2 linked regions of the Alligator mississippiensis genome follow. Each later gene encodes a partner of the first gene's protein in a complex. Links are inferred from orthologs where the notes say so. Each region holds a gene or a part of one and is shown on either strand. Other genes may lie near its edges.

Region 1 (8,248 bases):
CCACTGATTAATTATGCAATGTTTATTTTAACTGGTTTTAAAATATGCAGAATTTCTATTTCATTGAGCCTACTTAGGTTCTTGCATTATGAGAAAAAGGACTTCTTTTTCCCAAATGACTTCCTTTATACCGTTCATAATTTTCATTTCTCAAGTCTAACAAATTCTTTCTTTATTGGTCATCACTGTACTAATCAATCTCAGTCTTTCTAGGCTTTCTTTATATGATCTTCCATACCTCATGATCATTTTCATTGTACATCTATTATTTTTCTTTTTGGGACAGGATTTTAAAATAATATTTCCATTCCACTTCTCATGCATTCCAATATGTTAGTTTTTTCAGCTGTCACTAAAAACTGAGAAAGTTTTCACTGAGCTGTCCACAATGATACCTAGATCTTTTTCCTGAACTGTTACAACTGAGCAAAGCAAAACATGGATAGTTTAAACTGTTCCTTCCACCATGCAATATTTTGCAATTATCAATCCTGATTTTATTCTGCCATCCTTTGTTCCTCTAACTGCATTCCCCACTGACCCACCAGTCTTGATAAATCTAAATAACTGTCATCTGCAAGTTTTGCCATCTCACTGCAAAACCCTAGTATTACAAAATTATGAGGTTATTTCCCTTTAAGGTGAAATAAGTTCTCAACAGGAAATTCTCTTTCCCAAACATTAGCCCTACTGAGTCTTATATGCACCGGATACTGGCATAATGACTCTTCATTAAAAAAAAAAAAGAATACTAAAGTGAGAAGTATCTTATCTCCCCTACTGCTGCTAGTCATGTAAAAGTAACTTTGCTACTAGATCATTTCCAATTTTGTAATTTATGCAAATATGCAACAATACCCAACTAAGTCTTAGGCATATGTGGTAATTTGAAGCATATGAAAACACAACTGTGGGGGGGTGTTCACTGCACATACATGCAACTTACTAGTCAAATCAAGCCTACTCGATTTATTTACATGCCTAAAATTTACTTAAATTCAACAGAATACAAGTTTGCATTAAAAAAGCTCTCATATTTATGACTGCAAAACTAACCTTTCAGATACAGAGTGTGAACTGATGCAGAATTGCCTCCCCAGTTTTTGAGAACCTTAGATAATGGTTAGTTTCAGAAAACAGCTAGTGCAATTGTAGACAGCATGAACACTCTGTCTGCATAAATCTAATTAGTGTTGCATGGATAAGAAAAGGAGGTGTTTTTCCCCCCCAAAAAATGTTAGTTATTTCAAATACCACTTCATATTTGGTGGAAACTGTTTGACACCTTAAACTAGATGCTAGATGGTGAGTGATCATAGGCTACACAGTACTCCCCCTTATCCTGGGATGGCCACAGCTTGACATCAGTACATGAACTGAAGTTTAACCATGTCAAGACATAAGTTAACCTGTTTTAAAACAACCAAAAAAACCCCAATGCATGATCTATTTCCCCTGCCTAGACAAAGGCATAAGGAAGCAGGAAAGAAATGGACAGGACGATAGGGAAGAGCAGAAAAGAAGAGTGTTTTTCCATTAAGAAAAACCTAATGAGAACTATTAAATGAGAGTGTAGCAACTACAGAAATCCCATATTCTAAGGGCATTTAAACCCAAAAGCTTACAAAGAAGAATTTTTTCAACTGTTTGGGTTGGCCTAATAAAAGATAATCCAATTTACCCAAAGAACCTTGTCCACTTATATTCAACCCTTGGTCTCTGTGCACCATCCATTGACATTTTATGGCTCTGTGTGTTGTGAATGGAAAGCATTTATGAGATAAGTTTACCCTTAACCTGGAGCTCCAGCCCAAATGGAACTTGCTGCTTTACAAAGAGTTAGTGATATCCCCACAATATCTTTTCAGGGCACCCAGGACAGACAGGCTCAATCTTGGATCCAGTAAGCATCTTTCCAAAAAACCTACAACTTGATTTTCAGCCCCTACCAGCACTCATTTAGTATGAACCATAAAATGGCACCGTGACAAATGTAATTTCAAAGTATCATCAGTTAGGAAATTTTTAAATTTCTGCAGAGATATGAACTCTTTGTTTCCAATGTTTTATGTCCTCATAACCTGCCTAGAAACCCAGCGCAATAAAACTTTTTAAGAAACTTTATTTTGCATTTTCACTCCCCCTTGGTCCATTATTTTGCCCCGACAGCAACCACATGACTGCCCTTTGCTGTTACCTAATCTGAGTTTATTTGGTGATGTCTATTTGAGTAAGAAAAACAAGTCTAAGCATGAGGAAATTTAGGCGTGCTCTGGTTTCACAGGCTGCAAAGGATCCCAGAAGGAATCTGGTTAGGCTGTGCTTCTTAAAAAAAATTAAAAATAAATAAAGAAACGAGAGGATTTGAGCTTCCGAAATATTTTGTGGGATGCAGAGGGGGTCATGAAATGTCCGTGTCTTACACCCTGCTGGAAAGGTACAAGGGAGACACTCGGTCAGCTTGGGAGCAATCCCGGGAACACTTTGGACCTGTTCGGCTCACAAGGAATGAAAACCAGTGGGAGGTTTTTTGTTTGTTTTTCCCCGTCTCTCTTTTTTATTCTTGCTGCAAAAGCCCACAGGCCCCGTGTGTCACGCCGCGGGGGTGTGAGGGACCCGCGCAGACCCGGCAGGAAGGGCCCGAGCGGCGGCCGGGGCAGGGGAAGCGCCGGTCCCGTTCGGCGACCCCCGGGGCGGGGGCAGGCGAGCGTTGGCCGCTGCCGGCCAGGGCGCGGGGCGGGGCGGAGCCGGGCCCGCCGGGAGGGCGGCACCAAGGGGCAGCGCGTCCCGCCGGGCCGGAGTGTGAGGCGGCTCCGCGCCCCCAACAATAGCGCGGGCGGCAGATGTCAGCCCGCACGCGGCCGCCGCCTCGGCCCGGCCCGGCGACAGTTTGCGTCCCGCGGGGAGCGGCCCGGCTGCACGCCCCGGGCCTGGCCTAGCAGCGGCCGCAGACACGCGGCTCAGGGGGGACAAATCCCGCCCGCGGCCCCGCTAAACTTTCACTTCCCCCCGCCGGGCCCCGCCCGCGCCATCGGGAGGGGCGCGGGTGCCTCCTGCCGGGCTGGGCCGGGGAATCCCCTCCCCTCTCCTCTCCGCTCCTCCCCTCCCCCCGCCAGGTGTCAGCCGTTCGGGCGGCTCAACCGCCGAGGGCCGGGGGGGGGCCCGGGGGCACGCGGCCGCGCCGCCCTTACTCGTAGTCCCTGAAGATCTCGTTGGTGACCCTGCAGTAGAAGACGCGCTCGTCCGGCCGCAGGTCGGCGGGGGGCTGCTCCCTCACGAAGGGCTTGCGGTGCAGCAGCGGCATCGCCCCGCTTCCGAGTGGAGGGAAAAGAGAGGGGGAACCGTGAGCACGGCGGCGGCGGCCCGGAGCGGAGCGGAGCCCGCTGCCTTTTGTGTGCCCGACGCGCCGCCGCCGCCGCCTGCCTGGGACTGACGGCGCGAGCGGGGAGCTGCGGAGCCTTCCTCCTTCCCCGCCCCCCCCCGGCGGCGGCCGCCGCCGCCTCACAATGGGGCAGTGACGCCGCCGAGCAGCAGGCGGAGGCGGCGCTCCTGCCCCCCCGCGGCCCGCGCCACACAACGTGCTGGGCCCGGGGATCCCCCGCCCCCGCCCGCCGCTTTGTCTGCCCCGGGGTCGCGCCGGCCGCCGTCTCTGACCTGCGCGCGCCGGGCTGGACACCAAGTTGCCCGCGCGCCCCCCCCGCACAGCCCGGCGGCGGGGGCAGGGAGCGCCGCTCGTCGCTTCCTCCTTCCTCGCGCGGAGGAGCCCCTCCGCCCGCCTTTCTCCTCCTGCCCAGGCAGCGCTGCCTGCGGGCTCTGCCGCCGGGCTGCCCCCTCCTCCCCCCGGCGCGGAGCGAGGCGTCCCCTGCCCCCCGCCGGGCTGTGGCCGGGGTCGGCTCTCTGCCTGCCGCCCGCCTACCTGCGGGGGGAGAGGGTGGCTGTGGTGCGGAGGGCTGCCTAGCTCCTGCTCTTCCCTTCAGCTCCTGGGAAGTTTTTTGATCTACTTCTTCAGCCCTCGATCAGGAAGAGCTGCTGGGAGGAGCTTTCCACTTCTCTCCTCTACATCTTTATTGGCCACTCGGTGCCTTCCAGCGTGTGTCACACAGGAAGACAGAGAGCTACATTATTAATTAATGGCTGAGAGGACTCATCCTCCATTTTTGAATGATCGGCCCCGAGATCCGCCGCGCGCCAGGGGCCGGGTGGTGGCGGGGGCAGCCCGGCCGCCGGACCCCCACCCCGCGCCTGGGGCTCCCAGCTGACAACCTCCTCGGACACTAGAGACGAGAAAGCTGCCGAGAGCCGGGGCGGCGTGTGGTCGGGGAGGGGAATAAAGACTTTTCAAACGCTCTTTTCTTTCCGTCTCTCTCTCCCCTTCCAAAACACTCCTGCCACTGCCAAAAACACTTCGCTCTGCAGAAGAACCTAGAGCACTTCAGAGACCCCCCCTCTTCATCCTGGACAAAAAAAGCTACTGTCCATAGTACTTGTCCATACAGCCAGGAGAGAAATATCAACATTTAATAGAGTCTTCCAGTCTAACTAGCAACAAAGGCTTTGGTGTTGGATAATAGAAGTACAGAGAAACCTGTCTCCTAATATTTAAGTGCAAAGGGATATGTTGTCATCTGAGTTCAGGAACAAGAAGGGTACGCTGTGCCAGTTACAAGTCTCAAGTATAACACTTATTCTCCTTAGATGTGTGGGCCCCAGAGCAGTGTCTCCTGCTCTCATGTCACCTGAGATATGCTCATATTACTCTATGAAAGCACATGCTGCTATTGCTTGTAATGTTCGATTTTTATTTCACTTGGCATATTTTAAAGATTACTGTATTGGTTGATAGGGTTCTCAGGTGCGCAGGAGGCTTTACAGAGCCACAAAAGAAGATAAACTCCATATCCTAAGAAACATCAAATCTAAAGTCTCAGGCAAAAAGTTGTGAGTAACCACAAACTCACTGGGACTAAGAATTTGAAGAGCTGGTGCTTAAATAGAACGTTACCATCCACACCCCTGATCCTGGAAATACGTGGGCTTGTGTTTTGTCCTGCACCTGTGCAGACTTCCACTGACCACCCAGGCCAGGCGCATGCATGGGTTAAGCTTGGAAAGTCAAGCTCTCCTGATGAGAGGAAAAGGAGCTGTGAAAACATTACCTTGTATGTAGGTAGCTCTCCCTCCTGTTCATGTTACCCTCCCACTACAGATAATTTAACAGCCCATTTGCACAAATTTGGAGAGATGAAGAAAGATCAATACATTCAAATCACATCTATTAAATGAAGTGGAAAAGAAAAAAAAGAGCATACAATGGGCCCAGGCAGACCATGTGTGGATGAAAAAGAAAGTGCAAGACGAGCCTGCATAGCAAACCCATTCACAAGTGATGTGACTTCATCTTAGGAGCAGTAAATTCATCAGGCAATTTTCTAACACTTTCAAACATCACAGGTTAGCTTTTGTTTGTAGACAACCCCTCCCAGAGTCAGCCAATTAATCTGCCAACCGCCTCCTTTCATCATGTCTATCTTTCTGATTTATCAGTGGGGTCAGAGTGCCCAGGAGTCACCTCCCACCTTAGATTCTGGTGTAAGGTCACATTCGATCTTTGTTCTGCACAGAAGCTCCAGGAATCGAGAGCCTGAAGGCCCTTGGCACCACTTTCTTTTCTATGATCTTGGTACTATCAAGGGGGCCTGCTATTCACCACACCAGCTATTGGGCTTATGCAGAAGTCCTGAATGTTCTTGCACTAAGGTGAGAGTCAAGGGTCCGTTCAGACCTCCAGAATCCCAGGAGCATATATGTCTATAGACCAGACTGTACCAGAGAGGGGCCACCAGCAAGGCTGCTCCAAAGTCAAGGATCTCAAGTGTGACTACAAGCAGGCATGGGACACAAACCACCACTCAGGCACCAATTATGCCACAGCTCCATGCTATGAGTAGCTGGACAAAATGTTTTCAAAAGCTTCCCATATCAAAGTGGACAGAAACAGACCTCAGTTAGACCATGGTATGTGGAGCTAAGGGCTTCTACGGTCAAAGAGGTCTCTGACAGCCAGAACCTTTTCACCAGCCAGGAGGCTGAGCAGTCCAAACTAGATTCCAAGGTCTCCCAAACAACCACAAGCCAGCCTGCTGCTACACAGGCCACAACTCTCCGAGTCACTGCGATCAGGAAAAGATGCACAGATGGCATGACTGGAATGCATGTTTGCCTTTTGAATCAGTTCATGCCATTTTGTATTGCCCAGACTGCTTAAAAATATCTTGCACTGGAAGCAGCATGAACAAGCAACATGACCATCCCAGTGACAGCTACTCCATGGGGGACAGTAAGAACAGTGCCTTCTGGAAGCATTGCTGCTTTAACCCCTCTAACCAACAAGTTGGCCTGATGGCCCACCACTCCGGCCCCCAGGAATGTGGGGTCTTTCATTTGTGCCTCTGAGCTTAGCCTAACAAAGACTGAAATGCCCCCAAATTCATCAAGTTTCTAGTGGTTTTCTCATTAACTTGTACATAGGTAGCTCTCCCTCCTGTTCATGTTACCCTTCCACTACAGATAATTTAACAGCCCATTTGCATAGAAGACACAAATTTGAAGAGATGAAGAAAGATCAATACATGCAAATCACAGCTATTGAATGAAGAGGAAAAGGTAAAAGAGAGCCCATGGCATACAATGGCCACAGAGATACCATGTGTGGATGAAAAAGAAAGCACAAGAAGAGCCTACATAGCAAACCCATTCACAATGACGCCCAGGACAGAAAGAAGGCAATCAGTTTTCTTGTGTGCAATTCAGAGCTATCATGACAGTGTTTCATTGTGACACCTTAGCAATATTCATGGGGTTTCCTCAGAGTAGGTTGCCAGTGAGCTATCTTGTCACTAGAATGAGGTGTCTGTTTCGTTTGTCATAATTGCAGACAGGTGGTTACTCCAATCACTGGGCCAGTCTCTCTTTGCCTCCACCAACCCACCCCTTTGCAGGTCCTTTATGCAATTTCCCAGACTTCTGCAGTAACATAAGTGAATCTTTTGCAGTGGTTGACTTGGCTTAGCAGTAATATCTATGTAAAAGAACGCTCTTCCTATGAACTCCAAGTCCTGCAGGAGGACAGGGGAGGGCAAAGAATGTATGCTCTATCACTCCTAATTGGTGGTCTAAAATGGTTATTCTGCTTCCAGTAGCATAACTAGGGCGAGATGACCAAGGCAGCCACACAGGCAACCATTTGGAGGTAAGGGAGAAACCACTGTCACCACAGCCACACAATCATGCCAGTGGCACAGCAGGAACCACTGCTGTCCCCATGTGTTGCAGCTGCCCCAGACACCCAGCTGCATTGTAATGCCTCTTCTTCCATAGGTCTGTAGCAAGCTCTGTGCAGATTTCTAGGAACATATCATGCCATGGCACTGTGGTAGACATCTTTCATTGCACTGGGAGATGCATAACTCTATAAAACCCGAAAAGAATAAACCCTGGCTGCCAAGTCCCAGTCTACAAGCATTTTCTCATTCATGGTAGCTGAGCACAGACTACTCATTTGTCCACAGCTTCGCCTCTCATGGCTTATTCTTTCATGTGTTCATGGCCTGAGACTCCATGTAGATGTAGTGATCTACATTAGCGTAACCTGTAGGGATGATGCTTATGTTAAAGATTACAGCCTACATCTTGAATTATTCTCCTAAAATGTTGTTTAGTCCTTGATATTTTACAGCGATTAGCCTTATTCCACCCATTCAGTCAGTTTACAAAACATTTAGCTTGTTGAGCTCTGAACATCATTTCTTCCAAGTCCCCTCAAAACCCTACCAGTTTATATTCCATATTCACCAGTGAAGCCACTTTAGTTTTAAATAAATTTATAGTGAAGGGCAGAGATGTGACTGTAAATTAATCAGTTAAAAAGCACATTACAGTTTATATATATAGCCCCTTGGGGCTCAAAAGGAGTCTATCCCATTACATAGGAAGGGAGGTAAGGGGGCAAAAAAGCCCCCTTGGCTGAACAGGGAACTCCAGGAGAGTCTGGGGGCAAAGAAAGAGAATTAAAGGCAATGGAAACAGGGAGCAGCCACCAAGGAGAAATATATCTCCCTGGCGTGCTATTGCAGGGAATCAGTCAGACAGGCCAAGGTGGGGCTTGAGCTCAGGCTGGCTTCAACAATCAAGGACAATTAGAAGTCCTTCAGGTATATAGTGGGCAAAAGGAAAGCTCAGAGCAACATAG
Region 2 (8,524 bases), on another chromosome or scaffold:
AAATCAGCGACCCCAGTAGCTAATATCATAGGGTGCGTTGCCTGGCTCAAATACCCAAAGCACTGGGGTTACATTTAACATCTTTAGAAGATTTCTGTGGTCTTATAAAAATCTCTGTTAGGGAATTACTGTTGATATTCAGCCTAAATTTTTTCTTCCTTAATTTCCTTCCATTATGCGTTGGTCTGAAGAAAATGCATTTTCAATTGGCTCATGTGGTGACAACTTACCGTATTAAATTGAACAAATTTGCTGCTGTTGAATGAGTTACGCACCGACCTAAAAGAGACTTGAACCACGTTTTTTAAGTTATTTAGTCAGTCCCGGTGGGTGCCTGTATACACTATACTAGGTTTGTGTGCATAGCTTAGAGCAATGGTTCTCAAACTTTTTGGACTTGACACACCTCTCCATAACTTTTGTGAACTGAGCAGCACTCAGTTTAAAAGCTAATTTATACTACCAGAGAGGCTGAGAAGTGCAGGTGGCAGACTGACCAGGCTGGAACAAGCTATCCTGGTTGAGAATTACTGGCCTAGAGACTGAAGACAAGCTATGTGCTTAGCCCACGTAGTGCTTACCTGACCTTAAGATAAGCAATCCTCATTAAGTACAGTGTGTTGGTGCTGTGATATTAGCAGCCCTGGAACTGATTAGCTTCTCCTTTTTCAGGGCTTCCAATTTTGTTTGGGAGCTGCTATGACAAGCCTTGAAAATAGGAGGAACTGCTCAGTTTCAGGCCCTCTAACAGCACAGTAAGTACCTTACCTATCCTCAGTCCTGCAATACTAACAGCTCTGAAACTAACTCACCCCTGTCATCTTCAAGGCTTGTCATACTAGTCCTTAGGCTAAGAACAGATGTCAGATTTCTCCTAGACAACGCCTTTTATTCCGGGATCCTACAGACATATGAGCTCGCTGTCAAACTTTAACTTCTGTTTTTACCCTTGACTCTTTGTGGTACAGTTAACCCTGTGAAATATCCAAGATAATTCTTCTTAATTTACACTATTCATTATTTTACTCTGATAGTGTTGGAGTGATGTTGTAGCTCAGCGTTGTCCTTTATTGGACTAACTGCATGGCTGGGATAGCCTTGGACAAGGCTAAGAATACACTGCATTCGTCTTTAGGTTACTGTGACAGTAATGCCAACTGCTGCCACAAGATGTCATGACAAGGTAAGGCTCAAGGAACCATACAGAGAGTTAAACAGTAAAAACAATGCACATAGCATCATGGTGAATGATTGTTCACACCAAATGTTTTACACAAAACAAACACCACGTCCTTATTATAGAACAGATATCTATTCAACATCTTTATCAGCGACTTGGAGGTGGGTGTGGAAAGCACGCTGTCCAAATTCACGGATGACACAAAGATGTGGGGAGAAGTGGGCACGCTGGAGGGGAGGGACAGAATCCAGCTAGATCTAGACAGGTTACAAAGGTGGTCAGGTGAGAACAGAATGGAATTCAACACAGACAAGCGCAAGGTGCTGCATCTAGGGAGAAGGAACCTGCAACATACCTATAGGCTGAGGAACACCCTTCTCAACAACACAGTGGCTGGAAGGGATCTTGGAGTTATTGCTGACTCCAGAATCGACATGAGCCGCCAATGCGAGGAAGTGGTCAGTAAAGCTAACTGCACCAATGAAAACTGCACCATTGTTCCTCTTCCAAGTATGATTACATAAGTAGGTGCATCACAAGCAGGTCCAGGGAGGTGATCCTTCCCCTCTATGCGGCGCTGGTCAGGCCGCAGTTAGAGTACTGTGTCCAGTTCTGGGCACCGCACTTCAAGAGGGATGTGGCCAGCATTGAGAGGGTCCAGAGGAGGACCACTTACATGGTCAGGGGGTAGCAGGCCAGGACCTATGAAGATAGACTAAAGGGCCTGACCTATGAAGATAGACTAAAGGGCCTGAATGTATTCAGCCTCTACAAGAGAAGACTGAGAGGGGATCTGGTGTCTGTCTATAAACTCACCAGGGGGGACCAGTGGAAAATAGGTGAGCCTCTGTTCCCCCCAGGCACCACCTGGAACTATGAAACAGGTTCCTAAACTGTAGTACGTGTAACTCTGGCAAGACATCTCTGGGGAGTACTCAGGAGAAATTGTATAATGGCAGATTTAATTTTTATTTTAATAATTGACATTTAAGGGGTTAAAATATAAAATGTATGTGGTAAGGTTACGTGGGCCGCTGGTAAATCTGGAAAGGGGTATAAAATAAAAAAAAGACTGGGGAACCTCTGCCCTAGAAAAGTTAGTCTCATGGGACTGGTTGTGCGTGGTTACTAATTGTATAGGAGACTTCCTATTCCATTGTATAGGAGACTACAATGTTGCTGGAGCTATACTAATGACTCAGATAGTCACCTGGCATGGCATTGCAGCCTAGAGTTGTGGCAGAGATGCTCACTCACATTAGGTAGGTGCTTGGATTCATTCATTCTCAGAGTTTAGCCCTAGTTTATTGATTGTAGCTCAAGGCAGTTAATTACATTGTACCTGATCCCCTGCATTTTCTATTTAGTATGATCTTACACTTCCATTCCTACCTAAAACTGAGGTGTAGCATGTTTGTATCCTGCAGATGAGATGTGGTGGATGAAGATATCACTATGGATCTCTTACCTATGTCACACAGGTGATGAAGCCACCTGTCCGCCCAGCCTCAGAATAAAGGTGCTCTAGAAATGCTCTAGAAATGGACACTCCTCCAGAGAGGTAAACCGCACGTTTGAAAGAGCCACCTGGATACCACGTGAAGAACTGCTGCAGTACAGAAGAAAAACACCCACAAATTGCACACCGCTGGTTATGACATATCATCCATCCCTTGAACCTGTATGGAAAATCCTCAAAAAATTGCAACCCATATTAGAAAGAGACCCTATTCTTAAAAAGATCTTCCCAGAGCCACCCATCCTAGCCTTCAAACAAGCACCAAACCTCGCCAACCTCATCACCAGAAGCAAACTTCCTCAAGCCCAGAACACACCAAAAGGATCCAGACCGTGCCAGGACAAGAAATGCAAAACCTGCCAACACATCTCCACCACCCCCACTATTACTACACCCCACAACAGAGCCATCAGCATCCCAGGATCTTACAGCTGCACCTCCAGAAATGTAGTATACCTCATCCAATGTACCAAATGCCCTGATGGAAGATATGTAGGAGAGACCAGACAACAACTGCACACCAGAATGAACGCACACCGGAAATCCATCAAAGACAGAAACACCCAATTACCGGTGGGGGCACATTTCTCACAGGAGGGCCACTCTCTCAGTCCTGATCCTCAAGGGAAATTTACACACCACTTCCCAGAGATGAGCCTATGAGCTCCATTTCATCAACCTGCTGGATGCTAGAGATCATGGACTAAACAGACACTGGATTTTTGATACATTATAATCTGCCTGGCAACTGACTCCCCAGCCCAGCCCAGCCCCTGGCTTCTTCACTTTTCATCCCATCCAGAAAGAGCACACACCAACTGCTGCAGCTTCCTTAGTCTGACGAAGGGTTTTTGAACCTGAAAGCTTGCTTAATAACTATTCTCCAACCATTTGGGTTGGTCTAATAAAAGATATCAGATTCACCCAAGGAACCTTGTCTGCCTATGTCCTTAGACCAACACGGCTACAACCTAAACCCCTAGAAATGCAAAGTATTTATCATCATTAATTTATCATGCAGTGTCAGACTGCTCCAACCAACGATCATGGACCGTAATTTTCTGGCAGCACATCACCATGCATGTTTATCGGTGCTTGGAGATTATGGATGAAATCCTGGCTTTAGTAAAATAAACGGCAAAACCCCACTTGATTTCAGCGGGCTCAGAACCGTGTTGGAGACCCGAGACCCCTGCATCGCTTCGTGCTGGGTGCGTGACCACATCCCTCCTACAGGCCGTCTAAGCCCAGAAACAGTTTAGCTTTGTTGCACAAATGGCTAGTTTCGTGTCCCTGGAGGCTTTTCCAATATACCTCAAGGGAGAGTCATACACACTCAGGCTGGATCCATCTCAAGTTTATTTGTTTGCAAACAGATCAACAAGGGAGCTCAAAGCCCAAATCCGAGTCGAACCCTAGCCACGCCCGAAGATACATTTTGATACCTCTCATGAACAAGATCCCATTGTGGCAATCTGTGATTTGCTACAGTTTTCTACAAAGTTTACGTGCAAAGCAGGCAGTAACTAATCTGTGTTCCCACAGGAATCAGCCTTATCGTGAACCAAGCATTGTTCAGACTGTGCTCTCCCCCTAACAGGCCCCCCACCCTTCCTGGCCCCGCAGTGGTGGGGGAGAGAAGAAACAATTTGCAGTTTACAGTTCTTAGCCGTGAAGCCTTTTGTGTAATGAGGCAAGACATTTTTGCAATAGCTTGAAGCACAGGCCCCTGCAAAGTCACACGGGCCAGGAGCGCCGAGTAAGGATCGCGCGGCTACCTGCGATCAATGCAGACCAGCCACACACACGAAGTCACGATCACAGGACAAAAATGACTACCAAGCTGGAAAGCGAGCCGAGCAGCTACATAAAGTTAGTGCTTGAAAACACGTAACAACTCCACAGCTGGTTTGGACCCAGGTTTCATTGGACTGTGTAGCAGGTGAGACACGGTGTGTTGCGAGGGGAGGGGGGGAACACCGAAGAATGGCCCCAGGGCACACACGTGTCTCAATGCCGCCCTGCTCCGCTCTCGATGCTCATCCGGGACGCGCATGTCTGACCCCGACTGGGCTCAAACCCCTCCGCGCGCCGGAGGCCGGGGGGGGGGGGGAGGGGTGAGTTCCTGAGCGCCCCGGTGCATCTTGGGACGTGTAGGCCTTCTCCCGCCGCGCGGGGGGAGGAGGAGGAGGTGGTGGTGAGGCGAGCGGTGCATGCTGGGACTCGTAGTTCTCCCTCCCGCCCGCGACGGCGCAGCACTACAGCTCCCGGCGGCCCCCGCGGCGCGGGGCAGGATGGCGGCGCGGCCGAGCGGCGGCGAGAACCGGCTGGTGTCGCTGCCCCTGTCCCGCATCCGCGTCATCATGAAGAGCTCCCCCGAGGTGTCCAGCATCAACCAGGACGCGCTCTTCCTCACCGCCCGCGCCACGGTACCGCCCTCGGCCCGCCCGGGGGGGACATGCGGGGGTGTGGGGGGAGGCAAGCGTCCGCTGCGGCGTGAAGCGGGGCCGGCGCGGGAAGGCGGCTCTTGACGTCTCTCTTCCGGTGGTTTGCAGGAGCTGTTTGTCCAGTACTTGGCCTCGTACTCGTACAAGCACGGGCGAGGCAAGGAGAAGAGAGCCCTGACCTACAGTGACCTGTCGCACACGGCCGAGGAGTGCGAAACCTTTCAGTTCCTCGCAGGTGCGTGTCGCCGCGGGCGGGCTGGGGGGCAAAGCCACGGTCTCGCGCACGGTGCTGCCCCGTGGCGTCGGCACACATCGCGCGACGGGGGCCGTCTGCGCCGCAGTACGAAGTCGCGGGACGCGCTGGGCCGGCGTCTGGGGACAGTCGGCGCCGTCGAGCGCCTTGATGCCTTGTCACAACGGTCGCGTCACGGCTGTCCGAATGAGGAGGCCGAGCGACGGGAGGTGAAGCAGCCCCAGTTACGGCAGTGTAAGATCTGGGTGTAAAGCCCAGAAGCGCTGATGCTCGCATCGTCTGCTTTACCCACCAGGCCACACACCTGTAAATCCGCTTAGAGAAGAGCAAGGCAGGCGGTGGGGGAGGCTTTTAGGAAACGTACCAGCTCAGAGCTATGAATGGATGAGCGTTCGATGCACAAACGCGTCTGAGGTGGGAACAGGACCACAAACGTTCACGTGTTGCTCTCGGACTTGGGCGCTTTGGGGTTAGCCCTGCTTGTTCATAAGAACGTGCTAGGATGGTGGTCTCATTCTAGGCACCTTTTTAGCAGTGTTGCCTTAGCAAGCAGTCCACTTTCCCATCTCTCGAGGTCATCAGCTGTAAGAGCAGTGTCAAACTTACCCCGGGCCAGATCTGAACTGCAGGGTCTCCCCCCAGGCCAGATCTGTGGGGCCAGCAGCCAGTGTGGTAGGGTCACATCCAGGCAGCAACGTGAGTCCAGGGCTGGGTGGTGGTGGTGATGGGCTGCATTCAGGCAGCAGCACAGAGCTGGGGGGCTGCTGCTGATGGCCATGTCCATTGGGGTCCACGGACCCCAAATTGTGTGGCGGGCCATACGCCCCAACTTCCAGGAGTCCGCCGGGCTACCAGCAAGGCTACATGAAATAGCTCCACGGGCTGCATGTTTGGCACCCCTGATCTATAATGGTGTCCTGGACAGATCCCTAAATGGAGCATAGAGGAATTGCTTGCAAGGGATATACCTAGAGCAGGTAAACCTCATATCCAGTGTTGTTCTACGGTGCAAGTAACTGCTGACCGTGGCAGTGGCAGCGTCCACACCAACTGCAACCGGCTAAAAACAGCATAACAGGTTTCAGAATTTAAACCTCTATAATTAAGAATCTCTCTCAAAAGAAGACAAATTCTAGCGTTCGAGCCTTAATTGGATGAAAACTCTCTACTATTACGTTAGCCATTGTTCCTCTTCCAAGTATGATTATTATAGATTGAAATAACTCATCTTGTTGTTCCCTAGACTAAAAAGTTGCATTCTGTGAACTGTGCAGCTAGTAATTAGTGACTTTAAATGCCACAGTAATAACTGTCCTAAATATAACTGTTCTAAATGAGCACAAAATCAGCAATTCTGCCTTTCAGATATCTTGCCAAAGAAGATCCTAGCTAGCAAATACCTGAAAATGCTTGAAAAGGAGAAGAGAGATGGAGAGGTGAAGGAGGAGGAGAAGGAAGAAGAGGAAGATGAGAGTGAAGAAGACGCCGAATCTTAAGGGTTTATCAGACTGTCTTCATATTCGGTCTTTTTCCTGTTGTATAAAAGATGTTATTTTTTTGTGACTGAGAATCCAACTGCTGGATTTATTTGTATGTGAAGTCACCTGTTTTCTATTTTTGTTTTAAGAAGCTTTATCCAATGACACACACACAGCCTGAAGGACAGAATTATCCCCCAGATACACACACACACAAACACACACACACACGAGGGGAAGAGTTCCTACAGATCTGGAGACAGAACTAGCTCATTCTTTTTAAAGTAACTTAGACAATCATTACCACATTTCTTGTGGGCAGCCCTCATCATCCAGGCCAAAGGTCTCTCGCGTTCTCTCTAGGTGGTTAAATGGATCCCCTCTTACAGCTGATGCTGTTGGTAATCAACTTGAAGAGGCTGTATATACTCTATCAATAGTATTTGCCTTCTGCCAGCCAAGAAGCAGATAACTGGTTCAGATCTCTATCCCAGTTCTCCTATATGGGTCTAGAACCTACCCATGGATCAAGCCCTTAAAAACCAACATGACTTCTGCAGTGCTGTCCAAATCTCTTCCTTCCTCTAGAAGGAAACTGGATACAGGGCTAGACTAGTTCAAATTAGTGGTGTAGGTCTGTGGCTGTAGTGGTGATGAAGAAGTACAAGTGTTAGCAGGTGGTGTAAATATGTGCATCTAGAACCTGTGTTTTCCTCAGCAAGGTCTCTACTTTTGCAGCATACTGTTTATGGTATTTAACCAACACGCATATTGTGTGAAGTTTAGAGGTGGTTGTATGGGAAGAAAATAAGTAGTCCTTTTACCATGTCAGTGGTAGAGCTGGAATATTTTTGTTACAATGAAATTGGAAACAGCCCTGTGTAGAAAATTTTGTACACAATTTTTTAAATAAATGTTTTATAAAATGTGGAATTTAATGTAGAGGGTCCTGACAGCTTTCTCATCTGTAGGCTTTCCAGTTTATCTTTGGTGCACAATTAACATAATTGTCCCAAACTTGCTGATGGGCAAACTTAATGAATGTGGATCCTGTTGGAGAAAAAAAAAAGACTAGCCATGAGTACAAAGTAATGATTGAGTGGGAGGGGGGAGAAGGGACACTAGGAATTCACACTGATCTTCCAAATAGTTTACATTCTTTGTTGTGGGTCAGCTTCAGTGTGTTTCAGGGGAAACGTGCCTGGATAAACCCTGGCCATGCCCCTGTAAAGAAATGTTTCAGTCTCATCTGCCCTCTTTCTGGCTAAGACGCTTACTGGAGAAGTAGTAAATTAAGTTACCATATTTCACAGTGTATAGGTCGATGTGGTGTATAAGTCCCCGTTTTTCTGATCTAAAAAGTTAAGAAGACGTATACACCAGAACTATGAAATTCCTAACTTTTTGGATCCGAAATACGGGGTTAACTTATACTGCCCCTTGCATGCCCTCACTGCAGCCGGGCACCTGAGGGGTGAACATGTGCTGCAGCTCCGCTTGCAGGGGATAACAAGGCTGGGCTTGGCGCTTGGCTGGCACAACTCCATCCTCTGCCAGTGGCGCTGCCTGGGCCTGGTACCACTTGCAGGGGATGGGGCTGCACCAGCTGAGCGCCAAGCCTGGCCCCGTCTGCTGCGAGCAGTGCTG

What was found.
Region 2: BAZ1A (region 1) and CHRAC1 share a complex: the UniProt entries of both Homo sapiens proteins name them as parts of the CHRAC ISWI chromatin remodeling complex. The link is inferred for Alligator mississippiensis from reciprocal best matches to the Homo sapiens genes BAZ1A and CHRAC1.

The regions. Positions count from the first base shown.
Region 1 is NC_081825.1:256,448,306-256,456,553, forward strand, and holds the start of BAZ1A (bromodomain adjacent to zinc finger domain protein 1A), read right to left. Parts: upstream 4,008-8,248; 5' UTR 3,917-4,007; intron 3,907-3,916; exon of another isoform or gene 3,655-3,906; intron 3,463-3,654; exon of another isoform or gene 3,312-3,462; 5' UTR 3,305-3,311; coding exon 3,192-3,304; intron 1-3,191. UniProt on the Homo sapiens protein: Regulatory subunit of the ATP-dependent ACF-1 and ACF-5 ISWI chromatin remodeling complexes, which form ordered nucleosome arrays on chromatin and slide edge- and center-positioned histone octamers away from their original location on the DNA template to facilitate access to DNA during DNA-templated processes such as DNA replication, transcription, and repair.
Region 2 is NC_081826.1:7,832,322-7,840,845, reverse strand, and holds CHRAC1 (chromatin accessibility complex protein 1), read left to right. Parts: upstream 1-4,961; 5' UTR 4,962-4,993; coding exon 4,994-5,128; intron 5,129-5,254; coding exon 5,255-5,381; intron 5,382-6,764; coding exon 6,765-6,895; 3' UTR 6,896-7,815; downstream 7,816-8,524. UniProt on the Homo sapiens protein: Forms a complex with DNA polymerase epsilon subunit POLE3 and binds naked DNA, which is then incorporated into chromatin, aided by the nucleosome remodeling activity of ISWI/SNF2H and ACF1.